Canis lupus familiaris: one gene and its partners. Each later gene encodes a partner of the first gene's protein in a complex. Links are inferred from orthologs where the notes say so. Each region holds a gene or a part of one and is shown in the gene's direction. Other genes may lie near its edges.

Region 1 (4,125 bases):
GGGGATCATGGCGGCGACGCGGGTTCGAGTCCGGCGGCCGCCCCTCCAGCGTGCTCCTTGTTTGCCGTCACCATGGAAACCCCCCGGCCCCCCCGCCGCGCCTCGTGGCCTGGGCGGGGCTTCGGATGGGGCGGGGCCAGCAGCGCAGAGTTCCCGCTCAGCCTCGCCAGGAATTCTCCTCCCGCTCGGTTGATCGCGGTTCCTGCCCCGCGGGTCGCCTTGATGCTCCTGGAAAACCACGCCAAACGGGAACGGAGTCCCCACGCTGCGGCTCGCAGGCCATTGCAACGAGGCGCACGGTCACCTTCGCTGGCCGCCAACTTTGTCACCTGCAGAATGGGAGCCCTGTGACTCCTCGGTGGAGGCTTGGGAATCTGCAGATTCCCAGAGGGAGGCACCTGCAGCTCCCCGGTTTCTTTTTTTTTTTTAATTTTATTTATTCATGAGAGAGAGAGAGAGAGGCAGGGACACAGGCAGAGGGAGAAGCAGGCTCCACGCAGGGAGCCCGACGTGGGACTTGATCCGGGGTCTCCAGGGTCACGCCCTGGGTCAAAGGCAGGCGCTAACCGCTGAGCCACCCGGGGATTCCCGGAGCTCCCTGGTTTTCTTTTTAAAAATTAAAAATAATTTTTTTGCTCCCCAGTTTTAAAAAGTATTTGTGTTGGGGCGAGGGGCACCTGGCTGGTTCAGTCAGTAGAGGGTGAGACGTCGATATGGGGGTGGGGAGTTCCAGCCCCACCGCTGGCTCTAGAAAGGACTTGAAAATAAAAAGTAAAAAAAAATAAATAAAAAAAAGTAAAAAAGTAAATAAATTAAGAATTCATTTTTTAAATTAAATGGAGAAGTGACAACATAACACGAAGCTCAGGACTAGCAGGGAAGATAGTAATGACTTGCCCCCACCCCCCCGGGGGGCTGTCAGTGATTGCATTTCCTTCTCTGTTTCCTCTTTTTTTTTAAATATTTTGTTTATTTATGAGAGACACAGGCAGAGGGAGAAGCAGGCTCCACGCAGGGAGCCCGACGTGGGACTCGATCCCGAATCTCCAGGATCCAGCCCCGGGCTGCAGGCGGCGCTAAACAACCGCTGAGCCACCCGGGCTGCCCAGAAGCGTCTCTTTGACGTTTAAAACTCCCGCCACCCGAGCGGCTCCCGACAGCCCCTCCCGCTTGCAGGGTCGTGGTCACGTGCTTCGCTCGCCGCCGCAAGGGTTTCTGGGAGAGCGCGCACCCGGAAGCGGAAGTGCGGGGGGTCAAGCCCGTCGTTTCCTTTAGCGAGAGGAGCGCAACGGATCTCTCTCTCTCTCTTTTTTTTTTTTTGTTTGTTTTGTTTTGTTTCCCTCCCCCGCTTCGCTCTCTGCTCGTATCTCAGCATGAAGGAGGTAAAGAGCGAGCGGGAGCGGGGCACCCGGCGGAGGCACCGCGACGGGGACGTGGTGGCGGCGGCGATGGTGGTGAAGGTGAAGCAGGAGCGCCTGAGCCCGGAAGCCGCGCCGCCCGCCCACCGCCGCCCCGAGTCCTCGGGCGGGAGCGCGTCCCCGCCGGCCGGCGACCCGGGCCGCCCTGGGCACCGCGGGAGCCGAGCCCGAGGAGGCAGCCGGTAAGTGGGGGAGGCGCCCGGGATGGGGACTTGGAGGAGGGGCGGGGCTGGCGTCAGAGCCCCGTTTTGGGAGCCGAGCGCGGCTGCTCGGGTTTCATGTCAAAGGGGGTGGGGGGGGGGTGAGCCGGTGGCGCTGTGCGGGAGAGCGTTTACGGCGGCCCCTGCCTGATGCGCAGGATCCCGCCCCCCTCATCCCTGCGCCCCGCATCTGCCCGGACACCGCGCATATGGACCCGAAATAAAGGCTCCTCCGCATCTGCCCGCACATGGGCTGCCGGCCTACTAGGCCTTCCAGACGTCTGCCCCAGAAGCCCTCCGCCTTGGCAGCCCAGGCGATCCACCTGGTAGGCAGTTGGAAGAAAAACCATCTCTTGCTGGACTGCTCCGTGTATTCCTTCGACTTAAGTTGTGAGCGCGTTGCTAAAGGAAGAAAGACAGCCGTCGCTCCTGGGGCCTCGTGCGGCCTTTGCCCCGGCGAAATGGAATGGGTGTGCTCCCGCCTCGAGACAGAGTAACAAGGCCGATAAAATAGTTTCCGTATGTAACAAGTATTAAGAAGCGGCTCCAACCGGAGGTGTGAGAGCGAGCCTTGGAAGGAAGCGAGAGAAGGAAGGCCCCTCTGAAAACGTGCGGTTTGCGTTGAGACCCGAACGATAAGGATTGTCCAGGCTGGGGAAACCCATGTGCGCAAAGAAGCTGAAGCCCGGTTAATGTGATTGTTCTAGAAGTGGGAGTGCGGGGTGGGGGTGGAGAGGGGTCGTTTAGGGATCAACGGAGGGGAGAGAGGCGATCTAGAGCCGGAGGACTGACTCGCTGTCGGATTGACGTGGTTGTTGCCGGAGAGTGTCGGGAGCTATTGCTGGGGAAAGGAAAGGGGAGTCACGGGGGGTTCTCTGGGTTTTTTGGGCTTGAGAAGCAGGGTGGATGGTGATACCCGTTACTGAGATGGCAGAGGCTGAGGGAGGAAAGGGCTTTGAGGGGTTGGGAAGCAAGAGTCAGGCTCTCAGAATGCTCCAGAGGCAGCTCTGTGTGTGTGTGTGTGGGGGGGGGGGGGGGTCTGAAGCTCAAGGAGGGTGTCCCGGGCTGGAGAGCGGAGCTCCCCGCCTTCCTTGGTGTGAAAAGCAGAGCCCTTCACTGGATGTGCTGTTTGTATTGTTAGTAAGTAAGCCTGACACTTGACTGTGAGTGTATATGGGGGAAGGGAAATTGAGATAAAATCCTGTGTGTACCCTGCTCCAAAAAGGTCCCCAGCCAAGAGGAAAAACAAGTCCTCAGGGAGAAGAAGCAAGTCTCCTCGGAGTAAGAGAAGCCGAAGCCCTCACCACTCGACAGTCAAAGTGAAGCAGGTAAGCGGACCGAGATGTTTTGATACCAGGTCCAAATCTAGAATCTCTTACCGTCCTGACAAATACATGATCCTAGGTGTTTACCTTTATCCGTAGCGGGTGTTTCTAGAAACTGGGTTGTTGTTGTTTTTCTACTTGTTTTGTGACACCTTTTTAAAAAAATTTTGAGAATTGTTGATTTACACACTCAGCTGTTTTAAAAAATAAAAAATACAGAGGTACGTTCTTCACTGTGTTTTTCCCACTGGTAGCATCTTACAGAATTCCAGTGCAGTATCACCGGGAGGGTATTGACATCGTGACAGTTAAGATGCGAACATTTCCATCCCCACAAGGACCCATTGGGTTGTCCTTGGATAGTCTCACCCGCCTGTCTCTCATCCTTAACCCCTCAAGTCCTGGCAACTTCTAATCTGCTCTCTGTCTCTATAACGGTTGTCACTTCAAGAACATTATGTAAATGGAATCATGTAAATGGAATCATCCGTCTAACCTTTAGGGATTGGCTTTTTTCACTCAGCACATTTCTTTGGAGATTCATTCAGCTTGTCTTTGTCAGTATTTGATTCCTTTTTTATTGCTGAGTGATACTCAGTGGTGTGGTTTTAACCCTTTACCCATTAAAGGACAAGTGAGTTGTTACCAGTTTTTGGTTATTGTGTATATAAGGTTGCTGTGTAACATTTGTATACAGGTTTTTGTGTGAACACGTCTTCAGTTTTCTGGGATAAGTGCCCAGGTGTGCCATTGTTAAATGGCATGGTGATTGCATGCCAGACTGTGTTCCAGGAGGGCTGTGTTGGTTTTCTAGGGCTTCCATAACCAAATACCACAGACTGGATACCTTAAACAACAAAAATTAATTTTCTCACAATTCTGGAGGCTAAAGTCCAAGGTCAAGGTGTTAGGAGGTTTTGTTTCTCCTGACGCCTCTTTCCTTGGTTTTCGAATGGCTACCTTCTTGGCTGGGTCCTCACATGGCCTCTCCTCTGTGGGCTTGCATCCCTGGTGTCTCTTCCTCTTCAGATAAGGACACCAGTCATATTGGATTAGGGCTTTGCTGTCAACTTAATCATGTCTTTAAAGACCTTATCTCAAAAAAAGAAAAAAAAAAAAGAAACCAAAAACGGATGCCTGGCTGTCTCCGTTGGTAGAGCAGTTGGCTCTTAATCCTTAATC
Region 2 (4,347 bases), on another chromosome or scaffold:
CTCTGGAAGTACTGCTGTTCCTCAGTGGTCTGTTCATGTCCTCTGGATCCAGGGACCCTTTAACCACACTCCCACTGCAGTCTTCCAGATTCCAGGGTCAGGTCCTTTAACTGTCCCCCAACTGTTCTCTAGCCCCCAAATTACTGCTTTAGGCTTCTTAGCTATTACCTGTGTCAATTCATAGGTCTAAAGACCCCTAAACACAGCCCTGATACCATGCCCCCTCAGCCCTTCATCCCTGGAGTCCAACCTTGCTAGTGACACCCCCCATCATCCCTCGAAGACAACCTAGCTGTACACCTGCCCTAGTTTGTCAGCAATGGGATTCCTAGCATAATCTTTTCCCCAGTGGAAATGGAATATAATACCATGCTATGCTGTTTTTATTTTCTCCCAATATGCATGATATATCTGTTTGCTGCAGCCCTTCAGGTGCAGACACTATGCAGTATATGCTTTGTGTCAATGTCACCCTGGCTCCCCATGCACATCCAAGTCCCTCGGTGACCCTGCTCCCATCTTTGGCTTGCCTGATGACTGTAGACCAGCTCTGGCCCATGCAAATCTTAAAAAAATAAAAAAAGAAGATTTTATTTATTCATGAGAGAGAGAGAGAGAGAGAGAGAGAGGAAGGGGCAGAGACATAGGCAGAGGGAAAAGCAGGTTCCCTGCGGGGATCGTGATGCGGGACTCGATCCCAGGATCCCAGGATCATGACCTAAGCCAAAGGCAGATGCTCAACCAGTCAGCCACCCAGGCGTCCCTCACCATGTTATATTTAGTATATTAGACCTCCAGGTCAAGCAGGTGGCTGGAGATTTTGGCCACGAGTTAAATAAAGCACCCAGGGTTAGAGGAATAAATCTGAAATTCCTGAGCATTTAGGTAGTATTCACAAGTCATAGGACTGGATGGGATTGGTTGATTGACTCATTTGTTCATGGAAATATGTTTAGAGCTAGGCATTGCGGTAACGAAAAATACACAAAGGAAAATCTATACCCTCAGAACTTGCATCCTAATGGGGAGGAATAACAACAGAAACACGGTATATTAGGGATCACCATTAAGGAGGAAGATAAAGCAGGTAAGGGCGGGAAGGCTGCAGTTTAAATAAGGATGGCCAGGGAAGTCCTCAGTGGGAAAATGTTACTTGAGCTGAAGTCCTGAAGGATGTTCGGGCAGGAGTCGTGCAGGTACCTGGACGACTAGCATTGCAAAGGTGCTAAGGCAGGAGCTCGTCCAGCAAGTTCACAGAAAAGGACAGGCCAGGGAAGAGCGGTGGGACCTGGAGACCCAGAGGTAATGGGGAGGGGCGTGCGGGCAGCTCCGGAACCGATTGAAGCTAGGGAGGTGACCTAACATCCCGGGAAATGTTGTTTGACGTTAGCCCCGCCCCAAACTCCCGCGGGCGTCTAGGCTCCCAGGTCGGCGTTTTGGCCGGAACTCAAGAGCCGACGCCGGGCCGGAAGTAGTTTTTACCCGACCCCATTTTATCCGCGGCCGCACTTCCGGTAGCGGCGGCGGGAAGCGGTGTAGTAGCGGGCGTCTAGGCCTCTGCTGAGGGCAATCCGGCGGGAATCGGAGCCATCAGAACCGCCACCATGGTGAGGACGGGCAGGCCGGCTGCGCGGGAACTTCCGAGTCTGTCGTGGAGTGGGCACCGCGGCCGGTCGGGAGGAGGTCGTGGGTTGGGGGCTCATGGCGGCGAAGGCCCGGGCCGCAGCCGCCGCGTCTGGGCGGGGGAGACTCGGACCGTGGCCTTTGGACGGGTTGGGGGAAGGGAGGGCTGGGGCCGAGGGACGGAGGCCGGGGCCGCTAGGTGGTGGCGAGGATGGGCCCGCGGCTGTCCACGCCGCTGTAGCCACGGTGCTTGGGATCCTGCAGGCACGAAGTAAACTTTTGCGCAATAAATGCGCGTTTGGGGTTTCGGAGCAGACATAAGAGCCTCAGGAGGACTCGTGAAACGGGGTGAGGGTCTGAGGGGGACTTGCGGAAAGCGGGGAGGACTTCTGGCCGAAACTAGAGAGCGTGCTTGGGTCTAGCAGATGGGAGGAGGGAATGGGAGGGAAACCGAAGATGGAGGAAGGGTTCAACTCCTTTGTGGGGCAGGTCTGTGTGAGCGTGTCTGGCTTCTCAGGCACTGGGGCTACTCCACTCCTTTCGCTTTCTAGTTGCGGACGCAGGTAATATGATCCAGAGTGGTAATTAAGCGCTGCGTAAAAGTAACGGGGCGGGGGGGGGGGCGGGATAAGAACGTTTTCCTGGAGTAGATGGTTCCTGAGCAGAGTCCTAACAGGTTGTTACAGGAGTCTCCCCAGCCTCGATGGAAGGGAGTATTGTAGATTGGGAGGGCTCCAAGAGCAGGGCGTGAAGGGCCGCACTGTTGAGGGTTCCTGGAGGGGTCGAGGGGGAAGGGATGGAAGAAGAGATGGGAGGAATTGGCAGGAACCTGGCTACTAAAGGCTTTCCATGCTGCCTGATCCCGTTGGTGATGAGGGATGCCGTGGAAGGATGTAGCCAGCGAAATGACGTGGACGCAGTTGTGTTTAGAAAGAGCGCTCTGTTCTGTGGCTGTTGCGTGTTGGGTGAACCGAAAGCCGGGGATTGTTTGTAGGATTGGTTTGGAAGAGTAGGCACTGGATTCAGTCTGTCTAGGTTCCAGACCAGCTTCCTGGCTGTGAGACGGGGCAAGCTACTTAACCTCTCCTGACCTCAGTGGCTGCATCTGTAAAATAGGAATAATAATTAGCCTGGTTTTTAGAATTAAATGAGATATTTAGAGACTGCTGGGTGGCTCAGTAGTTAAACATCTGCCTTGGGCCCAAGGTGTGATCCTGGAGACCCGGGATTTAGTCCCACATCAGGCTCCTTGCATGGAGCCTGCTTCTCCCTCTGCCTGTGTCTCTGCCTTTCTGTGTCTCTCATGAATAAATAAATAAAATGTTTAAAAAAATAAAAGATATTTAGTGCTTGTCACAGTGCCTGGTACGCAGTGAACGACCAGGAAGACTTACCTATTATAAGGTGGACAGACCAGTAAATGTTGCCATAAGGCTTCAGATCTGTGTGGCTAGAATCTAGAGGGCAGATTTAAATGGGGACACTGGACTCAAGTTAACCAGCTTGTAGCTGGTTAACAGTCATTTGAGGGAGAGTGAGCCACATAACTTGTGTCTCTAGGCAAGGCTCTGATCCACACATTGGTGGGTTGAAAAACCTGTTCTTGTCCAAGCTTACAGAGATGAACAGCAAGCACAGTAACTGGCAAGAAGACGACACTTGGAAGGCTGATACACAAATCAAATGCCAGGTTATTTCTAGAGAGGTATAACTGCCAAAGGCACCTGGCAATTTGCGTTGTGAGTTCTATTTAGTCTGTCTTTTACCAAAGCTACCTTGGAAGCCAGGCTACAAACCAGAAAAGGTTGTTGGATTGATAAAGAAGTTTAAAGACCATTATGTGTTCAAACTGATGAGCACCCTGGCCACCAGAAAGTTTCCCTCCCAAAGACAGTTTTGGAGGCACATTAACATTTTTCGTTTAGGGATTCCATTTGCCTTGCCTCCAAGCTCATCAGCTCCTTTCTGATAATAGATTCTTGCTGATTGGATCCTTAGTGCCAATCATTCCAGCTGTTTTACTCGGTCCTTTAACTGGGCTGTGGGTGTTCCACAGCACTGGAGTCACACACCTGTAACCTGCATAGTGGCAGATGGCTAATCTGGTATGGGGGGATTGGATTAGTTTGGAGATACCTTACTCCTCACCCCTGAAACTGACACAGCAGACACACAGGCAATTGTGATATGAAAAAGACTGATTTTAAGGGAGAGTAAGAGAGTTGTGGGCAGAGGTCTGGGCTGAACACTGGGTGTGGGAGAATTCCCCGGGAAAGGAAGACAGAGCTGAGAAGTTGTTGAGAGAGATAGCCATGTGGAAAAGTAGGCCAGAGCTGGTTTTTAGGAAGGACCAGGGATATATAGGTTCAAAAGAGCTTGACTCTGATCCTGCTGATTTCTCCTTGCAGACTGTGGGCAAGAGCAGCAAGATGCTGCAGCACATCGACTATAGGATGAGGTGCATCCTACAAGACGGCCGGATCTTCATTGGCACCTTCAAGGCTTTTGACAAGCATATGAATTTGATTCTCTGTGACTGTGATGAGTTCAGGAAAATCAAGTGAGAAGTGGGCTGCATGGGGGTGGGATTTAAATTGTGAGGGAAATGGACTGGGTGGGTGGGCCAAGCAACAGGTAGTGATGTAGCCAGCTGGTTCCTTGGTTTGCTCTCCTGTGTTAGAGGGCAGATTTAAATGGGGACGCTGGACTCTTAAGAAATCTCCT
Region 3 (2,203 bases), on another chromosome or scaffold:
CATCATCTCAATGTTATTGGGACTCAGATCACCATCTTATAGTTCAATATCCCAATCTTCTTCTTTTTTTAAAAAAGATTCCAATAAATAAATAAATAAATTAATTAATTAATTAAAAAAAAGATTCCATTCATTTATTCATGAGAGACACAGGAAGAGAGAGGCAGAGACACAGGCTGAGGGAGAAGCAGGCTCCATGCAGGGAGCCTGATGAGGGACTCGATCCCAGGTCTCCAGGATCACACCCTGGGCCGAAGGCAGGTGCTAAACTGCTGAGCCACCCAGGGATCCCCAATATCCCTATTTTCTTAGATGTTCCCTTGAGGAAGGGGATCTGCATGTCTTAGAGGTGCTGGACTAGTGCCCTGTGAGTTTCTTGGAACTCTGAAAGTCTATAATCTCTACCAACTCCTCAGTTACTGCCTTTCATGATATGTTTAACTAATCAGGAAAGGGACAAGGAGCATAGACTGCAGGAGCCAGACAGACTAGTGTATTAATTTTCTGTAGCTGGGTAACAAATAACCATACACTTAGTGGCTTGAACACATACTCATTATCTCACGGTTTCTGTGGGCAGGCATTTAGGGATGGCCAAGCTTGGTGCTATGCTACAGGGCCACACAAGATTGTAATGAAGGTGTCAGCCAGGACAGAGTTCTCATCTGCAGGAGCCAATTCTACATAGGGACTATAATAACTTGGATGTGTAGATTTATGTATTTCATCAAATTTGGAAAGATCTGCTCACTATGTTTTCAAATATTCTTTCTGCCCCTTTCTCTTTCTTCTCTTATTCTGCAGCTCCAATCAGGTGTATGTAGGTACACAGGAAGGCATCCCATACATTTTTGTTTGTTTCTTAAGTTTCTCAAAGAGTGATCCTTAAGCCAGAAGCATTGACACCACCTCAGAAGTTGTTAGAAATATAAATTCTGGGGCACCTGGGTGGCTCAGTCAGTTGAGCATCTGATTCTTGGTTTTGGTTCAGGTCATGTTCTTGCAATCATGAAATTAAGTAAGCCCTGTGTTGGGGCTCCATGCTCAGTGGGGAGTCTGCTTTAGATTCTTTCTCCCTCTCCCTCCCACTCATGTGTTCTCTCTCTCTCAAATAAATAAATAAACAAATAAACAAATAAATAAATAAATCCTAAAAAAAAAAAAGAAATGTAAATTCTTAGGCCTTGTTGCAGATGTATTAAAGAAACTCTGGGGTCCGCTTCCACCATGGCGTACCGTGGCCAGGGCCAGAAAGTGCAGAAGGTGATGGTTCAGCCCATCAACCTCATCTTCAGATACTTGCAAAATAGATCTCGGATTCAGGTGTGGCTTTATGAGCAAATAAACATGCGGATAGAGGGCTGTATCATTGGTTTTGATGAGTACATGAGCCTTGTATTAGACGATGCCAAAGAGATTCATTCTAAAACAAAGTCAAGAAAACAACTGGGTCGGATCATGCTAAAAGGAGATAATATTACCCTGCTCCAAAGTGTCTCCAACTAGAATGAATGATCAGTGAAGTGAGAAATTCTTGAGAAGGCCACGTAGTTTGTTTTTTTAGATGTCCTTTGTTGGGAATATAGTTCTAAAACCCTTGTTCATATTGTTTTGATTACCTTTATGTTCTTACCAGAGGACAATAAATGCTGTGGGATTGTTTTTATTAAAAAAAAAAAAAAAAGAAAAAAAAAGAAACTCTGGGGATGAGGCCCAACAATCTGTGTGTGTGTGTGTGTGTGTGTGTGTGTACGTGCATGCGTGCATGTGTGTGTGTTTTAATTGAAGTTGATACACAATGTTATAGTAGTTTTAGGTGTACAACATAGTATTTGACAAGTCTACATATTATGCTATACTTACCGAAAGTGTAACTACCATCTGCCACCACACAACCCAATTACAATATCATTGATTGTATTCCCTACCCTGTACTTTTCATTCCCTTGACTTATTCATTCCATAACAAGAAGTCTGTACTTCTTACTCCCTTTTACCCATTTTGCCCATCCCCCTAAACCCCCTTTGACAACCACCAGTTTGTTCTCTGTATCTATGAGTCTGTTTCTGTTTTGTTTGTTCCTTCATTTTGTTTTTTTAGTTCCACACATAAGTGAAATCATATAGTATTTGTCTTTTTCTGTCTGAGTTGTTTCGTTCAGCATAATACCCTCTAGGGCCATCCACGTTATTGCAAATGGCA
Region 4 (4,157 bases), on another chromosome or scaffold:
AATGTTGCATGCTAGTTTACCACTTTGCAGTGGCTACTTCAACCCTACATCTAAGCAACCTCAGATTCCCAGGAGCAGATAAAACCTGTATGCAATCTGTCACTGTTTAGTTTTCATTGCCAAGATAATTCCATAAAGTTAATGAATAGCTGAGCTGGATGGGGTGGGGGCACAAACACAGAATGAATGAAGGGAAACTTTGATTGGTGGAGAGTCTCCTGCTTTTGTCAGGATGTGGGTACATGATGGGTCATTGAGGGTACAGTTGTCATAATCCCATCATCAAAGTACTTTTATGAAATGCTTAATTTCTGGGGCTCTAAGCTGGGCCTACACAGAGAACTACCCAGCTCTGGAACTTCACTTTTAGACCAGGCATGGTCTGATACCAGTTATTGACATGGACACATATGAGATGGATTCAAAACTTCAATATGGCTTATATCACACTGAAGGTATGCCACCATACCTTCTATGGGTTCCTCATTATTTCTGGAGTGAAATCTACCAAGCAAATATATTTTGTCTCCTTAATGATATCATTAGCTCCAGAGGGCAGAGGACTTCACCTTACATTCCTGTCTACAGATTTTACTGTACAAGACAAATATAGATCCTCAGTAAGGACTGAGTAAGTCAACAAGACCTGATAGGTAGAGGCAGAGGACATCCTTTGAGTTAACTAATTCCTTCGAATCTCAGTTTCTTCCTCGGTACAAGGAAGGTAATTGTATGTATAGACTCCATGGGGTTAGTTATGAGGAGGGAGGGCCAGTACAAGTGAATTGCTTAGCACACAACGTAGCATATGCTTAACTATTAGCTTTCTCATTATTTATTTCTGCCTCCTGCTTAAGTAGGAGCGAGACTATGGGAAAAGGGTGAGCTCTTAGACAAATCTGGGTATTCGATCAGACTGGTTAGTTGCCTATGCATTTGGATTTAAGGGAGAAAAAAATGATTTCCCCTCTCACATACCTTCTTCACTTTTCTGCTGCAATTTCTGATCAGGGATGGTTTGAGGGGTGTGTGTGCGTGAGCGACTGGCTGGGAGTGGAAGCCCGAAAGGGGATTTTCACTGAGGATAGAGCCAGGGACTACAGTTGCTAGAGCAGCACCTTTTTCAATCTCAATTCAGTAAACATTTATAGCTAGCCCAATCAATGCCAGGCGTCCTCCAGCAGCTGAGGGTCCTGTAATAAACCCGCTTCACACCCATGCCGCGTTTCACAGACGGACTAAGCGAGAAGCTAGATAGAGTCCCTGATAGAGCGAAACACGCAGAGCGAGCCAAGGGCCTCTCCGCGCTACTACGCAAGCGCAGCTCCCCAGCGCGCCCGTCTTTCCGGCGTGGCGCAGCGCGAACTCCGCGGAGTCCAATGGGCGCACGGCATCGGCGCTGCGCACGCGCGACACAGACTCACCCGGAAGTTAACGTCTCCGTGCTGAGCGCGAACCTGAGGAGATGAAGTAAGGCCTCAGTTTACCTCTTAAGAAGTAGGGACCGGCCGCGGGAAGTTGCCCACCGGGGCTGGGGTGGTAGAGAGCCTGCGGGGCCGAGGGGTGGGAGAGGCGCGGAGACTGGAGAACTAGCCCTCTAGTTCTGCTCTCCCTTACCTCTGGCCAGGCCGCACTTAACGGCCGCTTTTCCGCCTCTCTCTGCAGCCCTTTAACTAAAGTGAAGCTGATCAACGAGCTGAATGAGCGTGAGGTCCAGCTTGGGGTGGCAGATAAGGTGTCCTGGCACTCTGAGTACAAGGACAGCGCCTGGATCTTCCTGGGTGAGAGTCACATCTTTCTGCACTGCTCATTCTCTCCTGGTGCGCTTCCTAACCTTTCAGCATTCCCGCCTTTCCTTCCTTCTGACGTTCATCACGCACTTAGATTTCTTTCTTCTGGCTGCCCCGTAAATCCGTTTTCTGTATCTCTTTTCTCTTCCATTTCTAGTTTGCTCCTCCTGCCAAGTCAGTGACCATAATAGTTACCTTTGCCGTTCACTGTGGTCCTTGCCACTTGGTTTCAGAGACTGTTATCATACCGCGCCCCCCTGTTACATAGCTGAGGAGGTTAATGGACTTCCTTAAAGTCACATGGGTAATAAGTGGAACAACCAGAACTATGGGATTCTAGAACTGATGATCTTAACCACCATCTTGTATTACTGCTAGCGCCCCCCCCCCCGCCCTTTCTCCTTCCCTCAGAATTCATTTTCCTCATTTACTTAACTTCTGCCTTCTGTCCGTGGCCATATTGTCATCTCTGTATTCACTTGTGTCGCATCCAATAATATGAAAGTTTGGGCAAAGAAGTTATTGCACCAGATATTGTGCTAAGCACTTTATGTCCATTGTTTTATTTAATTCTTACAACAGTTCTGTGAAATAAGTACTAATATCCCCATTTTACAGATGAGGAACGAAAGATTTGCAGGGGAATTTATTTCCTATGAAATGCTGAACAGTTGTCTATAGACAACCAAAGATTCCTTAGTCTATGTGAGGTGGGGTAATATTTTCATATTTAAACTGATTTTGCTGTAATCTTAGCTGTGAGTTTGTGAGTTCCGGGCACCTGGGTGGATCAGTGGTTGAGCGTCTGCCTTTGGCTCAGGTTGTGATTTTGGAGTCCTGGTATTGAGTCCTGCATCAGGCTCCCATTTCTCCCTCAGCCTATGTCTCTGCCTCGCTTTCTGTGTCTCTCATGAATAAATAAATAAAATCTTAAAAAAAAGAGCAGGTGAGTTCAAGATATGTTTGTGGAAACAGAGTTTTATGCTGCAAACTGTCTGCTTTGCAAGGTTTTGGGTGTGGGGAGTATTTGGTTAGTGATGACACTGACCTTTCCACAAAGTTAATCACTCCTTTTGCTGCACTAGTGCCGCACCTTATATATGATTCTGTTAAATCGTCAGACTGTGAGTTCTTTGAGGGCAGGCCCTGTGGCTTACTCTTCTTTGCACCCACATTGCTGGGCCTAGTGCATGGTATGGAGGAGATGCTTGGTAAATGTTTGTGGAACTGAAATGTGGTTTTCTCTCCTAGGAGGGCTTCCTTATGAACTGACTGAAGGGGACATTATCTGTGTGTTCTCACAGTAAGTCCTTTTTCATTTCCTGCCTTCTGGGTCATCAAATTATGCTTGCTTAATACATTTTGTGGCCTCACAAAGTCTATTTGTTTTATTCTAGTCTGACTGGGCTCCCTGCATGGGGAGGGCTGGAGCTTCTGCTCTAGTCTAGATCAGCCCCAGGACATGGTTATAGAGCTCCCAATATGGAAAATCCAAGAAGTTAGATGATTTAGGAGGCTGTCTTGGGGATTCTGGTCTATTTTTATTGCTTTTTAAGTGAGGCTTGTTCAGCCTGTGCCTACACCAGAATAGACTTACTCACAGGAAACTACCATGTTGGACTCCTTGGGCTCCTGCAAACCCAAGGGTAATCCATGATCACAGGGCCCTTCTGGCCTACACCTGTGTGGTGTTGTGGGATTAGGGCAAAGCACAGAGGAATGGGAGAAAAAGCAAAAAGTTTAGGCAGTTTTCTTGTTTCTAGATGGGTATAAGATTAGTAAGCAGAACCGGTCTCTTTACCCAGAAGCTGAGAATTATGGGCTGATGAGGAACAAGGATGAATAGGTGAACCTTATATTCTTCATTCTGCCCATAGATGAAAGCAGCAGCATTGGGTGGGAGAGCATCTTGCACTGGTGGTGGCGGCTGGTGGGAGAGGGGCTGGGCACAACCCAGAGCTACACAGAGTGGTTAGACAGTCCATGGGGCCTTAGGGACCCTGAGGGCAGAGGACTGTGGCAGAAGGATTTGGGGAAGTAAACACTGCCAGCACACTGTGGCGGAGACATTGCCATGTCAGGGGATGGTGGGGCCGTCCAATAGGAAGAGGACCGTGGCTGAGTGGTGGAGCAGCTTATGGAGGAGAGGGCCATGGAAAAGAAATTGGGCAGTACCCATGAGAGGGCCATGAGAGAGGGCTTCGGCAGCCCACTCTGGCTTAGCGCCCAAGAGAGACAGAGGCTGCTTTCTCTGACTTCTGGGCAGCTGGAAGTTTACAGCAGGTGCAGCCTGTAGTTTCCACCCCTTATGATACCTCTGTCTGGTCCAGCCTTCATAGGGGCTGTTTTTGTCTTATTTGCGTTGAG
Region 5 (4,281 bases), on another chromosome or scaffold:
AGCACTGGTCTCACAAAGAACCTTAGAAACCAACTCTCCACTGTTTGCTGTAAATGTTTAATCACTTGCAATTAAAAAGTTTCCATGTGGTTAATATTACGAGCTTTGGAGTCAGATCTGTTTGAATTCCCACTCTAATGCTCATTGGTTATTTGACCTTGGTCAAATTGGTTAACCAATCTAAGTCTGTTTCTTCATCTGTAAACAAACGTATGCTTGACGGGGATGGGAGAACCAAATGGGCCAATGTATGTAAAACCTCTAGAATAGAGACTGGCATAAATAGAAGCAGCTCCTCTCCACCCGGATAGTGGCACAGGGTCTGTCCCAACCAGACAAGGCAACACTGAGATGGGAGAACAAAAAGATAAAGGTGGGTCAGACCACAACACAATTAGGAAATTTCAGGGGAAGTTGCCTAGCCGGGTCATTACATTCTAATGAGGAATAATCTCTTCTGAGTGGTTGTCTGCATCCCTACCATGGAAGACTCACCGTCACCCCGTATTTCAGTGCGAGTCCAGCCAGGGTGTCTCCGGGGGCCAGCTGATGCTCCAGGCGTCTTTCCCTCACCGGGGAGCAGGCTGACTGCACCAGGCTTCCGTAAGAACGAGCCCGGCTCCCCTGTAGCAGTCCTGACCCCCCGAGGGGGGCCTGTCTAGAGGACGAAGCCATCTCCTCACCCCGCCGGCAGCTGGGGTTGCAAGTGAGGGAGGCCTGGCTAAGTGCCGACAGCCACGGGGCTGGGGGCGAGGGACGTCTATCCAGGGGGTTCCTTTCCCCCGTCTCCTCTCACAAACCCCCGTCTGCCCCGGCACTTCGCGCCCCCGCGGCTCTCGTTTGTCCCGCTTCCCAGGCGCCTTCCCACGAATCTGTATCCCGAGGATCCAGTCCCTACCAGAGTCTCTCCTTATTAGCACCCCGCTGACTTTCAACCCTCCCACCACTATGAACTCTGACCTTTGAACCGTAGTTACCCTCCACACTCCGCTCAGCTCGCCCCTCTCCCCCAGGTCAGGCAGCCTCCGCCTCCCAGGTTCCCTTCACACCCCGGCCCCGCCTCGTCCCGGGTTGGTCGGCTTGTGTCAGGAATAAATCCAGCCCCCTCCTGGTGGGCTGTCGGCGGCCAGGGAGGCGCGTGAGGACCGCGAGAGTTTGTACTACACGTTCCACTCAGAGATCTTCCAAGGCCCGCTCCTCAGCAAATCCGTCACGGCCTCAACGTCGGTCTCCACATTTAAGTTCTTGTCTCCCCAGACGCCTCGAATCAGCCAAGATGCAAGGGCCGGGAGCCAGCTGGGTGGCAAGCCCTTTGAAAAAAAGACTTCATTTCCCAAAACGCCCCGCGCCTGCGGGGTCGCCGGGTCGCGTGGGCAGTGCGGTCGGCTCCGCAGGCTGTGGGCGGGCTTTCCGCGAGCGCTGTGCATCTAGGGAAGTAAGGAGGCCAACCGGAAAGAAACCCGACGGGAGAAGACGCCTTACTCTCGCTACGGTGGCCTGAGAGGAGTGGCCGAGGCGGCTCGGGAGAATTGTTCGCTTCTGGAGCTCAGTCGTAATGTCTTTCAAGAGGGAAGGGGATGATTCGAGTCAACTCAATGTGCTCAAAGTAAGCGCGAGAGGGGAGCATCGGGAACAGTTTCACTGCCCCGTGAAGGAGCTGTTTTGTTGCTCTGGCAACAGCTGCGGGGCCGGCGCGACCAGAGCTGGGTAGTGACCCCTTCTTCGCCCAGTGATCTCTGTTCTCATGGTCCTTTTTGCCTTTCAATCTTTGACCCCTCCCTCCTCTCCCACTGGTCCCGTCCGGCTACCCCCTGCAGAAACGGAGAGTCGGGGACCTGCTGGCCAGTTATATCCCAGAGGATGAAGCGCTCATGCTACGGGATGGACGGTGAGGGCGAGGGGTGATCAAGCCCGAGGGTGCTGCGGTTATAGGCTTCGTATAATTTTGTTATCAAGGGGGGAGCGGGAGTATCTAGGATTTTCTGATGGGGGATGAGGGACAGGGATGTGGGTGGTGGAAATTGGGAGACCCTAGAGTTTGGTTTTGGAAAGGGTTGCTAGGTCCAGGTGGAACCAGACCCCACTCACCTGGCACCGAATATCTTCTACCCTCCTCTCCAGCTTCGCTTGTGCTATCTGTCCCCACCGACCTGTACTGGACACCCTGGCCATGCTGACTGCCCACCGTGCAGGCAAGAAACATCTGTCCAGTAAGTGAGGGAAGACAAATCTCTGCAGATCACTCTTGCGGTTTTGTTTTTAATTCTCTTCCCCTCTACCTTCAGGCCTGCAGCTTTTCTATGGCAAGAAGCAGCCAGTAAAGGGAATGGAGCAGAATCCAAGACAGCAGAATGAATTGAGGCAGTCAGAGATCAAGGCTGAGGTAGGTAATCAGGGAGGGGAGGGTGTGTTTTGGGTGGGCCTGCTGCACATCTTAGGCTTGAAGGGCTTCGACTTCTTTCTAGCTCTGAAGACACTGACTGTGTTTCCCATCTCCACACCAGGCTCCTCTGTTAACGCAGACCCGACTTACCACCCAGAGTGCTCTGCACAGAGCTCCTCACTATAACAGTTGCTGCCGCAGGAAGCACAGGTCTGTGGGGTGGGAAAGCCAGAGGTAGGGCGGGTCAGAGGAGATAGATGGCTCTAAGATAAAGGTATTACAAATTGTATTCTCAGGAATATTAATACTCCAGAGATGTTTACTGATATTTCAGAAAAAAAAGAGAATGTTGCTTTTTTTTTTTTTTTTTAAGTTTAGGAAACGGCACTTTGGTTTTTGTTCTAAAGATTTTACTGATTTATTCATGAGAGACAGAGAGAGGCAGAGACATAGGCAGAGGGAGAAGCAGGCTCCCTGTGGAGAGCCCAATGCAGGATTCAATCCCAGGACCCCGGGATCATGACCTGAGCCGAAGGCAGACACTCAACCACTGAGTCACCCAGGTGCCCCAGGAAATGGCACTTTGTGATCCTACTTGAAGAGTAGTAATATTAATATATTCGAAGGGCTCTACAAAGTCTAAAGATTAAAAAAAAAAAACCCTCAAAATGTTATACTAGCCTTTTAAAAATTCATATGATTCCAAAATTCTTTTTTTTATGCAAGACATTTACTAATATCTTGAGGAACACAGTTTAGGAAACACTTCTGTAAGGGATTGGGAGTCATAGGAGAATTGGCCTTTTTCCTTTACTACTTTTATAGACGTTGATTCTTCTCTACCTAGACCAGAAACCCCTCGTCCCTCTGTCTCCCATCCCCCTTTACCACCCCCAGAGGTTGAGCCTGAGAGTGGGAAGATCACTAAGGAACCCATGCCTGGAGCTGGCCCACAGGCCAAGGAGTCAGCAACTGTCTCATCCCCTGTGCCCATGAGCCCCACGAGGAAACGAGCCCTGGATCATTACCTCACCCTTCGAAGGTTTGTATGCAGAATCACTTTCTTCAAGTTTTCTCTTTTCTTTCTGAGTTTTCTTATTTCAATCCTTCTCAATTGTTTTTCTCTTATCCCCATTAACTTCTTAAACCTCTTTTCCTGATTTATTCTATTTTCTGTTATTTGCAGCTCTGGATGGATCCCAGATGGACAAGGTCGATGGGTAAAAGATGAGAATGTTGAGTTTGACTCTGATGAAGAGGAACCTCCTGACCTTTCCTTAGACTGATACCCTCTTTTCCCCCTCAGTTCACAAATAAATTTCAGCAGGCTCCAGGAGTCTAACTTTCTTCAAGTCTACTTCCTTGCCCCATTTCAGGATTTCACTGGTGGATTTTTTTTTTTTTTTTTAAGTAGGCTACACACCCAATGTGGAGCCCAATGTAGAGCTTGAACTCATGACCCTGAGATCAAGACCTGAGCTGAGATCAAGAGTCAAACTCTGATTAACCAACCAAGCCACCCATTTCAGGTGTCCCCCATTTCAGGACAGCCAGGCCCATTCTTCCCTGAAATGTACACAGCTCCCCATACTTCTGACCCCTCCCCCACCTTCAACCAAAGTACTGCCAAGCGTCAGCTGCATGCAGCCCAATGCCCTATTAATAAGTCTGTCAGAAGGAGGTCTTTGCCCTTCATGTTGTCTGCCTTCTTTTTTTTTTTTTTTTTTTTTTTTGTTGTCTGCCTTCTTCCCCACCTTCACTCAAAGTTCTTTCCTCCTTCAGATCACATGAAGTTGTAGTTAGACACCAGGGGCCCTACCCGTATCTGAAAAGAGGGCTGGGGTAGTAGGTACCCTGTGAGAGCAGAAGGGACTAACTGCATTGGCAGGGCCACAGGG
Region 6 (3,608 bases), on another chromosome or scaffold:
AGAGGCAGAGACATAGGTAGAGGGAGAAGCAGGCTCCCTGCAGGAAGCCTGATACAAGACTCGATCCCAGGACCCCAAGATCACGACCTGAGTGGAAGGTAGACAGCCCCTGAGCCACCGAGGTGCCCCTGGACTCTGTCTTGAAGGCCATGAAGAGCTAGTTGATTTTAGCAGGAGACAAGATTTGATATGCATTTTATTTTTTTATTATGAAATATTTCAGTAACATAGAAAAATATAAATAATAAATTTAATAGTCATCTACTTGGCTATGCATTTTAGAAGGATAACCCTGGCAGAAGTATAGAGGATTGGGAAAACTGATTGAGGAAGCTGTTCCAATAATCCTCATATGCAATTAAGATAATTTTGCATAATAGAATTGGAATTGAGAGAAGTAAATAGATGCTGAGAGAGTTGTCAAGGAGGTAAAATTGACCAGATAAAGTGACTGGTTAGCTATGGCAACAAAGATGACCCTCAGTTCCTGGGTAGATGTTGTTGACATTAACTAATACAGGGGATGGCAGAAGGATGCACATGTTTAGGTGGAGAGAAAAGAGATGATGAGCTCTGGAACGTGTTGAATTTGACACATTATGAGATACTTAGATGGAGATGTCTGTCTCCACTTTCAAACAGAACAGCTCAGCTTTTTTTTTATGAGCTTCTGTGTAAATTTTCATTTGAACCAAGAATTACTCTGTTTAAAGAGGGGGGAAAGACTGACATGGGTTCATGTGAGGAATCCAGAGAAGTAGAAGATTGCTGGAATTCAAATTGGAAGAATATTTTATTTATTTATTTTTCAAAGAATTTATTTGTCCATTCATGAGAGAAACAGAGAGAGAGGCAGAAACACAGGCAGAGGGAGAAGCAGGCTCCACGCAGAGAGCCCGATGCGGGACTCCATCCTAGGTCTCCAGGATCACACCCTGGGCTGACCCGGCGCCAAACCGCTGAGCCACCCAGGCTGCCCAAGAAGAATATTTTAAATACAATTTCCATCAAAGTTTGGCATTGGATAGCGTGATTCCCATAATAGCTTATAATTGTCATATTTAATTTTTAAAAATCAAAGAATTATAAGAACTTTCCTGATAGTAGATATTACTTGCCCACCACTAGAGGGCAGTTGTATTCCATATTCTTTTGACTTGCCTAACAGCTCTGGATACATAGAGACAAGAAATATAGGTGCATTTGGTTGACCCTTAAAAAGGATAAATATTTTAGACAGAAGGTCTTGGAATTTTGTAAGATTCCTCTACTCTCTTTGTACAAAAATATATTGGTGTTCCTAGGGGTTGAAGGACAGTTTTACTTTGGTTTCTGTTTCCCTGGCTGGTTTTCTAGCGGCTGATTTTTGAAGTGTCCCAATATAACATTTTCAAACCAATTAGCCTGTGTCAGGGGCTAGGAAGCTTTCTGTAAAGGGGGCCAGATGGTAAATATTTCAGGATATTTCTAGCTTGCAGACCATGCAATCTCTAGTGTGGTTCTTTAGTTCTGCTCACTGAAGTGTGGAAGCAACTATAGACAATGCAGAAATGAATGAGTTTACTGTGTTCCACTAAAATTTTGTTAACAACAATGGGGTGGTTTGGATTTCATCTGCAAGCTGATTATAGCCTGTGTTTGTGAACCATAATGTTTCTGGGACTTGAATATGGAAAGAGTTGGCACCTTTTTTTCCCAGTGGTTTATGTGGCAGCCAGCCAGGACTCTAAAGGAAGTAATATTCCAAATATAAAATGGCCAGAACTTTATTATATCACATACATTATTATAAGATGGATACGTTGTATGTTTGAGCTCTTATTTTTTTAGAATCTCAGAGAAATGTCTTTTCACTTTCAATATCAATATAATTTGCAAAAAAATACATTGTTTTTAGAAAGCTATCTGTTCTTAATCTGTGATGGAACACATGTGCCTGATTTTGTTTGCTTAAGGTCTGAGTAGTGACCTAAAGGAATTTACCTGTTTATTTCCCTGATTATTGCATCTTCTCACTTTCCAGTCATTTGGCCTCTTAAAAATGAAATCTGTTGTTCACATTTGGATATTAAAATGAAACATCATTAACCTGTATGGAAAATTTTGAACTTTCTTAGGCTTTGTTTTTTTTCTTTAAGATTTACTTATTTGAGAGAGTGTGTGTGTGAGCAGGGGATGGAGAGAATCCCAAGCAGATTTCCCTCTGAGGGTGGGGCCTGATGCAGGGCTAGATTTCACTGCCCTGAGATCATGACCTGAGCTGAAATCAAGAGTCAGATGCTTAACCAACTTAGCTACCCAGATGCCCCTGTTAGGTTCGTTTTAAATTGGAAGTCCCTGGGGATGCATGGGTGGCTCAGTCAGGTAAGTATCTACCTTCAACTCCAGTCATGAGGCTAGAGTCCTGGGATCAAGCCCCATGTCAGGCTCCTGGCTCAGCGAGAAGCCTGCTTCTCCCTCTCCCTGCTGCTTTGCACACATGCTCTCTCTCTCAAATAAATAAAATCTTTAAAAAAAAATAAATTGAAGGTCTCTTTTTCCTTGATCTATTAAGTCATCAGTTTTCCCCTTCCTAAAATACAATAAAGTGGGATTTATTTTTGGTTTAAGAGAGCATGAACAGGTAGATCTAGCAGTTGCTATGGCTAAGAATTGTAGGCATTTTATGTTTCTAATTCTAAGAATGAAACTGAGGCTGATTTGAGTTTAAAGAAATTAATGCTAAATTAAAAGTAAAGAAAGACAAGCTCATAACTGATGAAGGATGAGAGGTATGAAAATGGAAAGTTAGTAACAAATCATAAGAACAAAATGGATAAACGTGGGGTAGATTAGTAGAAATGCATGTTAACTGAATATAATATTTTACATGATAGTTTTAGCTACTTATGGGCTAATAATAACTTATCACTAGTCCTGGAAGTGCAAATTTACACTGTTAATAATTCAAAATAAAATTATTTTTAATCATAGTTCTATATAGCCCATCTTTAAAAATCAAAGTAATAGCTTTGCTAAATGTGTTTCTTTGATGTTTAACATACCCTTAAATGACTAGAATGTATTATTGATGGACTCTTAAAATAAGCAATTAATTTTGGATGTACTTCAAGAAAGAAAACATTTAAATAGGCATTCATAGAATTTCAGAGTCAGACTAATGAATGTAGACAAGCATGAACTATTTATTATAAGGCCAAATTATTTTGGTAAGTGAAACTTTTCTGGTATTTCTTATATCTTAAAAAACAAAACAATAAACAACCTACCTTGATGCTTATTCCTTCTCCATCATAAAATCCTAACAATCTTTTAAAATTTGAGTTATGAAAGAAGATTGACCCCAGAATTAATGTAAGTAAATGAGTCCTCCTCTGTCATTGACAGGAACAAGAACAGAAAGCTGAAGAAGAAAGAATACGTATGGAAAACATTTTGAGTGGAAACCCTCTCCTTAATCTCACTGGTCCATCCCAGCCACAGGCCAACTTCAAAGTTAAAAGAAGGTACTTTACACAACCCAGTTGGATGTATATTGCAGATTGTGCATTTTATGCCAAACTATTATATAAAGCCTCTAAAAAACCCCTTTTTATTGATAATAATTC
Region 7 (4,367 bases), on another chromosome or scaffold:
GTCTAACATCACAGTAGTTCACCTCTTCTGGCAAATGACAAGCAATACCAAGTGCACACTTCAGGACTCAAATGGTGGCCAGTGTAATCAGGAAAGGCCAAAGAACATTATGCTAAACTAAGGGATCCCAATGCTCCAGAAATACCGAAATGACAATGTCCGTTACAGGTGCTAGGTTCCAATCAAAAGTAGGGCATAAGTAGAAGAAAAATCTTTCTTTCTCTCTATAAAATACACATCGTGGTATGTATAACATATATGTTTATTTATAAATTACCTAACGCAGAGCTTATACATAGTACTGGCTAATATCAAAGTAACAGTCCACATGTTACCCATGTTACACTGTGGTTGAATATTCCAGAAAAACAAAAGGGCAAGTCAAGGCCTTATCTTTACAGCTCTGATCTAGTTCACATTATAATTTTCCAAGGCAAATATTCTACTGATAAGGAAACAGGCTAAGGCACGTTGGGAGACATGTCCAAGGTCCCAAGCTCCCAAGCACTATAGCCACGTCAAACCCTCGCCTCTTTGACATAAATCTACACTCCAGGGGCCGAGAAGGGGATGAAGAGCAAGAAGGGAGGAAGGAAACCTCTCTGGCAGATCCGCTGACCAAGGGGCAGGGGCGCAGGATCCGGAATACACCGTCTGAGCGGACTATCCCTTCGGGTATGTTTCTGGGCCGCTCTCAGAATCCCAAGTGATATGGGCAGATGAGGCTCTAATACACGGAGCAGCACCCAACTGCTTACTGAATGAATGAACGAACGAACGAGGAGAAGAGGGTGGGCCAAAGGTCTGCCCCCCCGCGAAAGCAGCCGCGGGGGTGGGCCCTGGCGAGCACACCCCGGCGGCCAGCGCCCGCGCCCCCGCCCCCGCCCCCGCGGTCGGACCCGGCCCGCGCCCACCGCCCCGGAGGCTGCGGAGCTTACCCGCGCAACCCGCGGCACCTGCCCCTGCAGCCCCCCGCCAACCTCGGCCGCTCGGGACTCTGCCCGAGCCTCACCCCGCGCCAGTGTGAACGGGGGCGGGGCCGCGCTGAGAGGCATAAGCAAAAGGGCACGGGCGCGGAGACCGAGACGAACGGAGGGCGCCACACACAGGGACGGATCCGAGGGCCGGGTCCATCGGGGCTGCCCCCGGGTCACGCCGGAAGGGTGGCCCTCGGGCGGGCGGCGGGCGCCAGCGGGCCGGGGGCACAGACGCTCGCGGCCACGTGGGCAGTGGGTGGGGGCCGCTGGCACCCCGGGAGGCTCGCGTGCCGGGCGGGCGCCGCTGGGCTTACCTAACTCTCCCGCCAGCGGAAGAGGAGCGCGAGCTACCACCTCCCACCATCAGGTACGACTCGCCGCCCTGGCCAACGCGCAGGCGCAAGCCTGTGGGGCGGAGACCCAAGGCGGCACAGCCAATTGCAGGAGCGGAGGGGCGGGCAATGGGAGAAGCCCCGCCTCCCACGGCCTCTCAGGTGTGGGGTGGGCGGGGCGGTGGGCGGGGCGGAGGGCGGGGCGGCCGGAAGCGGATTTTCGTAACCCGGAAGGGGACGTCTGCCCCGGCTGTTGTGTTGACATTCTCGAGCTGCTGCTGTTTCTGCGGCCGGGGGAACCGTCGGGGAAGGATGGTGTGCGAAAAATGTGAGTTAAGGGGCTGACTCTTTGGGAGGAGGCCAGGAGAAGCTAGCAGGAGTTCTCCGGGGACTTCGCCTTTTCTTTGTCTTTTCTTTCGGCCACAAGTCTCTGATTCCAGCCTTTGTCCTTTATCCCTTTCACCGTTCCCATTGGTTTTGCATTCGGAGTGTTCTCAGTTTTGTACTGATTTGTCTATTTCCTTTGCCTCCCCCAGCCCCACCCCGGGATTTCATCCCATACAGCTCTTGACTGGCTCCTTAGCCTCACAGACCCTCAGCATTGGAATGGATCTTAAAAGTCATTTTTACAACACCCAGAGTTTCCAGATATAGCAGACATTTTAAAAATGAATACTTTTTTTAGAAGTATATCCCATGCGATATTTGAGACTTGTCTTTGCTCGCAGCTTCTTAGTACTGAAAGTGCTTTGGGCTTACCTTTAGGACATGACAATACTAAAACACCATTCATTGTTTATTTGAAATTTAAATTGAACAGGGCATCCTGTATTTTAACGAGCAACCCGAAGTTAGCATCCTTAAATGTTGACTTAAATGTTCTTTGCATGAATATCTGAGGTCTTGAGGCAGGGTTCAGAAAGCCTCACTACCTTCAAAACAGTCTGCGTAGATGCCACTGGCTTTTAGAAAGTTCCTTCTTGGGCAGCCCGGGTGGCCCAGCGGTTTAGTGTCACCTTCAGCCCGGGGCGTGACCTGGGGTCCCACATCGGGCTCCCCGCATGGAGTCTGCTTCTCCCTCTGCCTGTGTCTCTACGGCTCTCTCTGTGTGTCTCTCATGAATAAATAAATAAAATCTGAAAAGAAAAGAAAAAAAGAAGAAAGAAAGAAAGAAAGAAAGAAAGAAGAAAAGAAAAGATCCTTCATCCCTACAGTTGCCAGGCAGTGATTCTAATGCAAACCCTTGATGTTTCTGGAAAGTATCTTAGGATTTCTTTGATGTCACAGACTGTCTATATGTTTTAAAACGGCTCTCATATCCCTAAGTCTCTTTTTCCTCAGGCTAGACTTTTCTTAACAAGATTTCAAGTCCTCTTATCTGGATTAACATTAACTTGATCAATTCTGTTTATATTCTCCCCTCCCCCCCAGTAGATAAACCTTTAAACACAGGCACCCATGAGTTTGAATCACAGGTTTTACATTATGTAAAGGAATAACCATGGTGAATTACCTAATATTTCTTGGCTCCAGTTTTCTCCTCTGAAAAATGAGAATAATACATAATTTATGGGGTTTTGTGAGAATTAGATAATGCAGGTAAAGCCTGATATAAAAGTGCCTTAGTGTATACTCAAAAACTGGTTATTCCTATCATAACTCCCAGTATGTGGCACTCAGCATTAAACTCTGCTCCATTTTATGAGGAGTAGAGTGGGACTGATATTTTCATTTTTCTATGCTTTACATCATCATCTCACATGAAGCTTTTAAAAAATTATTGCAGTTCTACCAATTGGCATAGGTAGAAGTCACCCATTTAAAATGTGCCATTCTGTTATTTTTAGCGTATTCACAGGGTTGTGCGACCATCACCACAATCAATTTTAGAATATTTTCATTGCTCCAAAAAGTACATTAAGCTGTTTGACATTGACGTCCTTTTAACTCTACTCCATCCAATACTTATGAGGTTTTTTGGTTTTGCTTGTTTGAGTAACTATGTCTTACATATATTTAGGTTATGCACCTTCTCCATGTCTTTTCTCTTATGTAGGGTAGTTCCTAAACATGTAAATTAGCCTTCTTTGTAATTTGTGTTAATTCGGTACATTTTAACTTTAGAGGCCTGGCATTCTGACGGGCTTAACTTGTTTTGTGTGATGTTCTTTACACCATAAGTGCTTTTTTCCCAGGAAAATTGAGGATACTGGGCAAATTCTGAGAGGTAATTTCCTAAGGCACATAAAAATTTTGAGAAGCCAAGATCGGATGTGATGTTAAAATACACATAGTTTGGCTCTGGGACGTGATATATGTCATAAAGGTCATTTGCTTTTTACTTCTCTGCACTTCTGAAAGTCTGTATTATTTCTTTGCTCTAGTACCTTTCTACCTTCTGTACCATCTTATTCCCCAAATAAAAATAGACTCTTAATTCAAAGACCTTTCTTTCAGTCCCTTTCTGCTTCTCTGTGACTTTGAAACTTGATCTAGATTCTCTTTGAATTTACTTCTCTTCTTCTTTACCATTATAATCTCCAAGTTTTCTTATTCTCCCTCTCCCTTAAAGTAGATATTTCCCAGTGATCGACATCTGCCCTTCTTTTGACTCTTTGTTTTGGAAATATCTGGCTTCAAGTAGTTTATCCATGCCAGTGAATGTCTAATCCACATCTCCAGCCGACTTCTCTCTATACCAAGACCAATAGAAGAAATTTCTCCAGACAATACTGGGACCCTTCATCTGGTTGTTACATAGTAGTATAGTACTTCCAAGACTGAATTTGTCATCCTACTTTATAAATCTGTAACTTCTCTTCCATCATTTAATGGCATGGCAGTCCTCCCAGTCACCCATTCATAAAGCCTTATTCATCGCTCATTCGTTCTGGTATCCCTTTGTCAACCTGCATCCAAACACTTGCCTGTCCTGCTATTGTTACTTCCATTCAATAGCTCATATTTTCCCTAGCCTCTCATTTACCCCTTAAATAACCTACCTGAGGTCCCCATCACTCTTGAGTTAAACTAATGTGATCCCCTCCCAGCTCCTTTC

What was found.
Region 2: SNIP1 (region 1) and SNRPB share a complex: the UniProt entries of both Homo sapiens proteins name them as parts of the minor spliceosome. The link is inferred for Canis lupus familiaris from reciprocal best matches to the Homo sapiens genes SNIP1 and SNRPB.
Region 3: SNIP1 (region 1) and small nuclear ribonucleoprotein E-like share a complex: the UniProt entries of both Homo sapiens proteins name them as parts of the minor spliceosome. The link is inferred for Canis lupus familiaris from reciprocal best matches to the Homo sapiens genes SNIP1 and SNRPE.
Region 4: SNIP1 (region 1) and RBMX2 share a complex: the UniProt entries of both Homo sapiens proteins name them as parts of the minor spliceosome. The link is inferred for Canis lupus familiaris from reciprocal best matches to the Homo sapiens genes SNIP1 and RBMX2.
Region 5: SNIP1 (region 1) and SCNM1 share a complex: the UniProt entries of both Homo sapiens proteins name them as parts of the minor spliceosome. The link is inferred for Canis lupus familiaris from reciprocal best matches to the Homo sapiens genes SNIP1 and SCNM1.
Region 6: SNIP1 (region 1) and CWC15 share a complex: the UniProt entries of both Homo sapiens proteins name them as parts of the minor spliceosome. The link is inferred for Canis lupus familiaris from reciprocal best matches to the Homo sapiens genes SNIP1 and CWC15.
Region 7: SNIP1 (region 1) and CRIPT share a complex: the UniProt entries of both Homo sapiens proteins name them as parts of the minor spliceosome. The link is inferred for Canis lupus familiaris from reciprocal best matches to the Homo sapiens genes SNIP1 and CRIPT.

Annotation. Positions count from the first base shown.
Region 1 is NC_049236.1:4,999,186-5,003,310, forward strand, and holds the start of SNIP1 (smad nuclear-interacting protein 1), read left to right. Parts: upstream 1-1,238; 5' UTR 1,239-1,373; coding exon 1,374-1,600; intron 1,601-1,740; exon of another isoform or gene 1,741-2,281; coding exon of another isoform or gene 2,282-2,283; intron 2,284-2,843; coding exon 2,844-2,946; intron 2,947-4,125. Other genes in the region: DNALI1 (axonemal dynein light intermediate polypeptide 1), read right to left, coding at 1-9. UniProt on the Homo sapiens protein: Required for pre-mRNA splicing as component of the spliceosome. As a component of the minor spliceosome, involved in the splicing of U12-type introns in pre-mRNAs. Down-regulates NF-kappa-B signaling by competing with RELA for CREBBP/EP300 binding.
Region 2 is NC_049245.1:19,125,550-19,129,896, forward strand, and holds the start of SNRPB (small nuclear ribonucleoprotein-associated proteins B and B'), read left to right. Parts: upstream 1-1,449; 5' UTR 1,450-1,604; coding exon 1,605-1,607; intron 1,608-4,031; coding exon 4,032-4,183; intron 4,184-4,347. UniProt on the Homo sapiens protein: Plays a role in pre-mRNA splicing as a core component of the spliceosomal U1, U2, U4 and U5 small nuclear ribonucleoproteins (snRNPs), the building blocks of the spliceosome.
Region 3 is NC_049222.1:93,813,237-93,815,439, forward strand, and holds small nuclear ribonucleoprotein E-like, read left to right. Parts: upstream 1-1,208; 5' UTR 1,209-1,227; coding exon 1,228-1,506; 3' UTR 1,507-1,668; downstream 1,669-2,203. UniProt on the Homo sapiens protein: Plays a role in pre-mRNA splicing as a core component of the spliceosomal U1, U2, U4 and U5 small nuclear ribonucleoproteins (snRNPs), the building blocks of the spliceosome.
Region 4 is NC_049260.1:102,430,602-102,434,758, forward strand, and holds the start of RBMX2 (RNA-binding motif protein, X-linked 2), read left to right. Parts: upstream 1-1,336; 5' UTR 1,337-1,465; coding exon 1,466-1,470; intron 1,471-1,665; coding exon 1,666-1,781; intron 1,782-3,041; coding exon 3,042-3,093; intron 3,094-4,157. UniProt on the Homo sapiens protein: Involved in pre-mRNA splicing as component of the activated spliceosome. As a component of the minor spliceosome, involved in the splicing of U12-type introns in pre-mRNAs.
Region 5 is NC_049238.1:60,887,540-60,891,820, forward strand, and holds SCNM1 (sodium channel modifier 1), read left to right. Parts: upstream 1-1,411; 5' UTR 1,412-1,555; coding exon 1,556-1,606; intron 1,607-1,817; coding exon 1,818-1,888; intron 1,889-2,121; coding exon 2,122-2,210; intron 2,211-2,285; coding exon 2,286-2,383; intron 2,384-2,504; coding exon 2,505-2,593; intron 2,594-3,230; coding exon 3,231-3,425; coding exon of another isoform or gene 3,426-3,569; coding exon 3,570-3,669; 3' UTR 3,670-3,730; downstream 3,731-4,281. Other genes in the region: LYSMD1 (lysM and putative peptidoglycan-binding domain-containing protein 1), read right to left, coding at 496-675; TMOD4 (tropomodulin-4), read right to left, coding at 3,408-3,571. UniProt on the Homo sapiens protein: As a component of the minor spliceosome, involved in the splicing of U12-type introns in pre-mRNAs. Plays a role in the regulation of primary cilia length and Hedgehog signaling.
Region 6 is NC_049242.1:6,122,952-6,126,559, forward strand, and holds part of CWC15 (spliceosome-associated protein CWC15 homolog), read left to right. Parts: intron 1-3,387; coding exon 3,388-3,506; intron 3,507-3,608. UniProt on the Homo sapiens protein: Involved in pre-mRNA splicing as component of the spliceosome. Component of the PRP19-CDC5L complex that forms an integral part of the spliceosome and is required for activating pre-mRNA splicing.
Region 7 is NC_049231.1:49,890,917-49,895,283, forward strand, and holds the start of CRIPT (cysteine-rich PDZ-binding protein), read left to right. Parts: upstream 1-1,511; 5' UTR 1,512-1,621; coding exon 1,622-1,637; intron 1,638-4,367. UniProt on the Homo sapiens protein: As a component of the minor spliceosome, involved in the splicing of U12-type introns in pre-mRNAs. Involved in the cytoskeletal anchoring of DLG4 in excitatory synapses.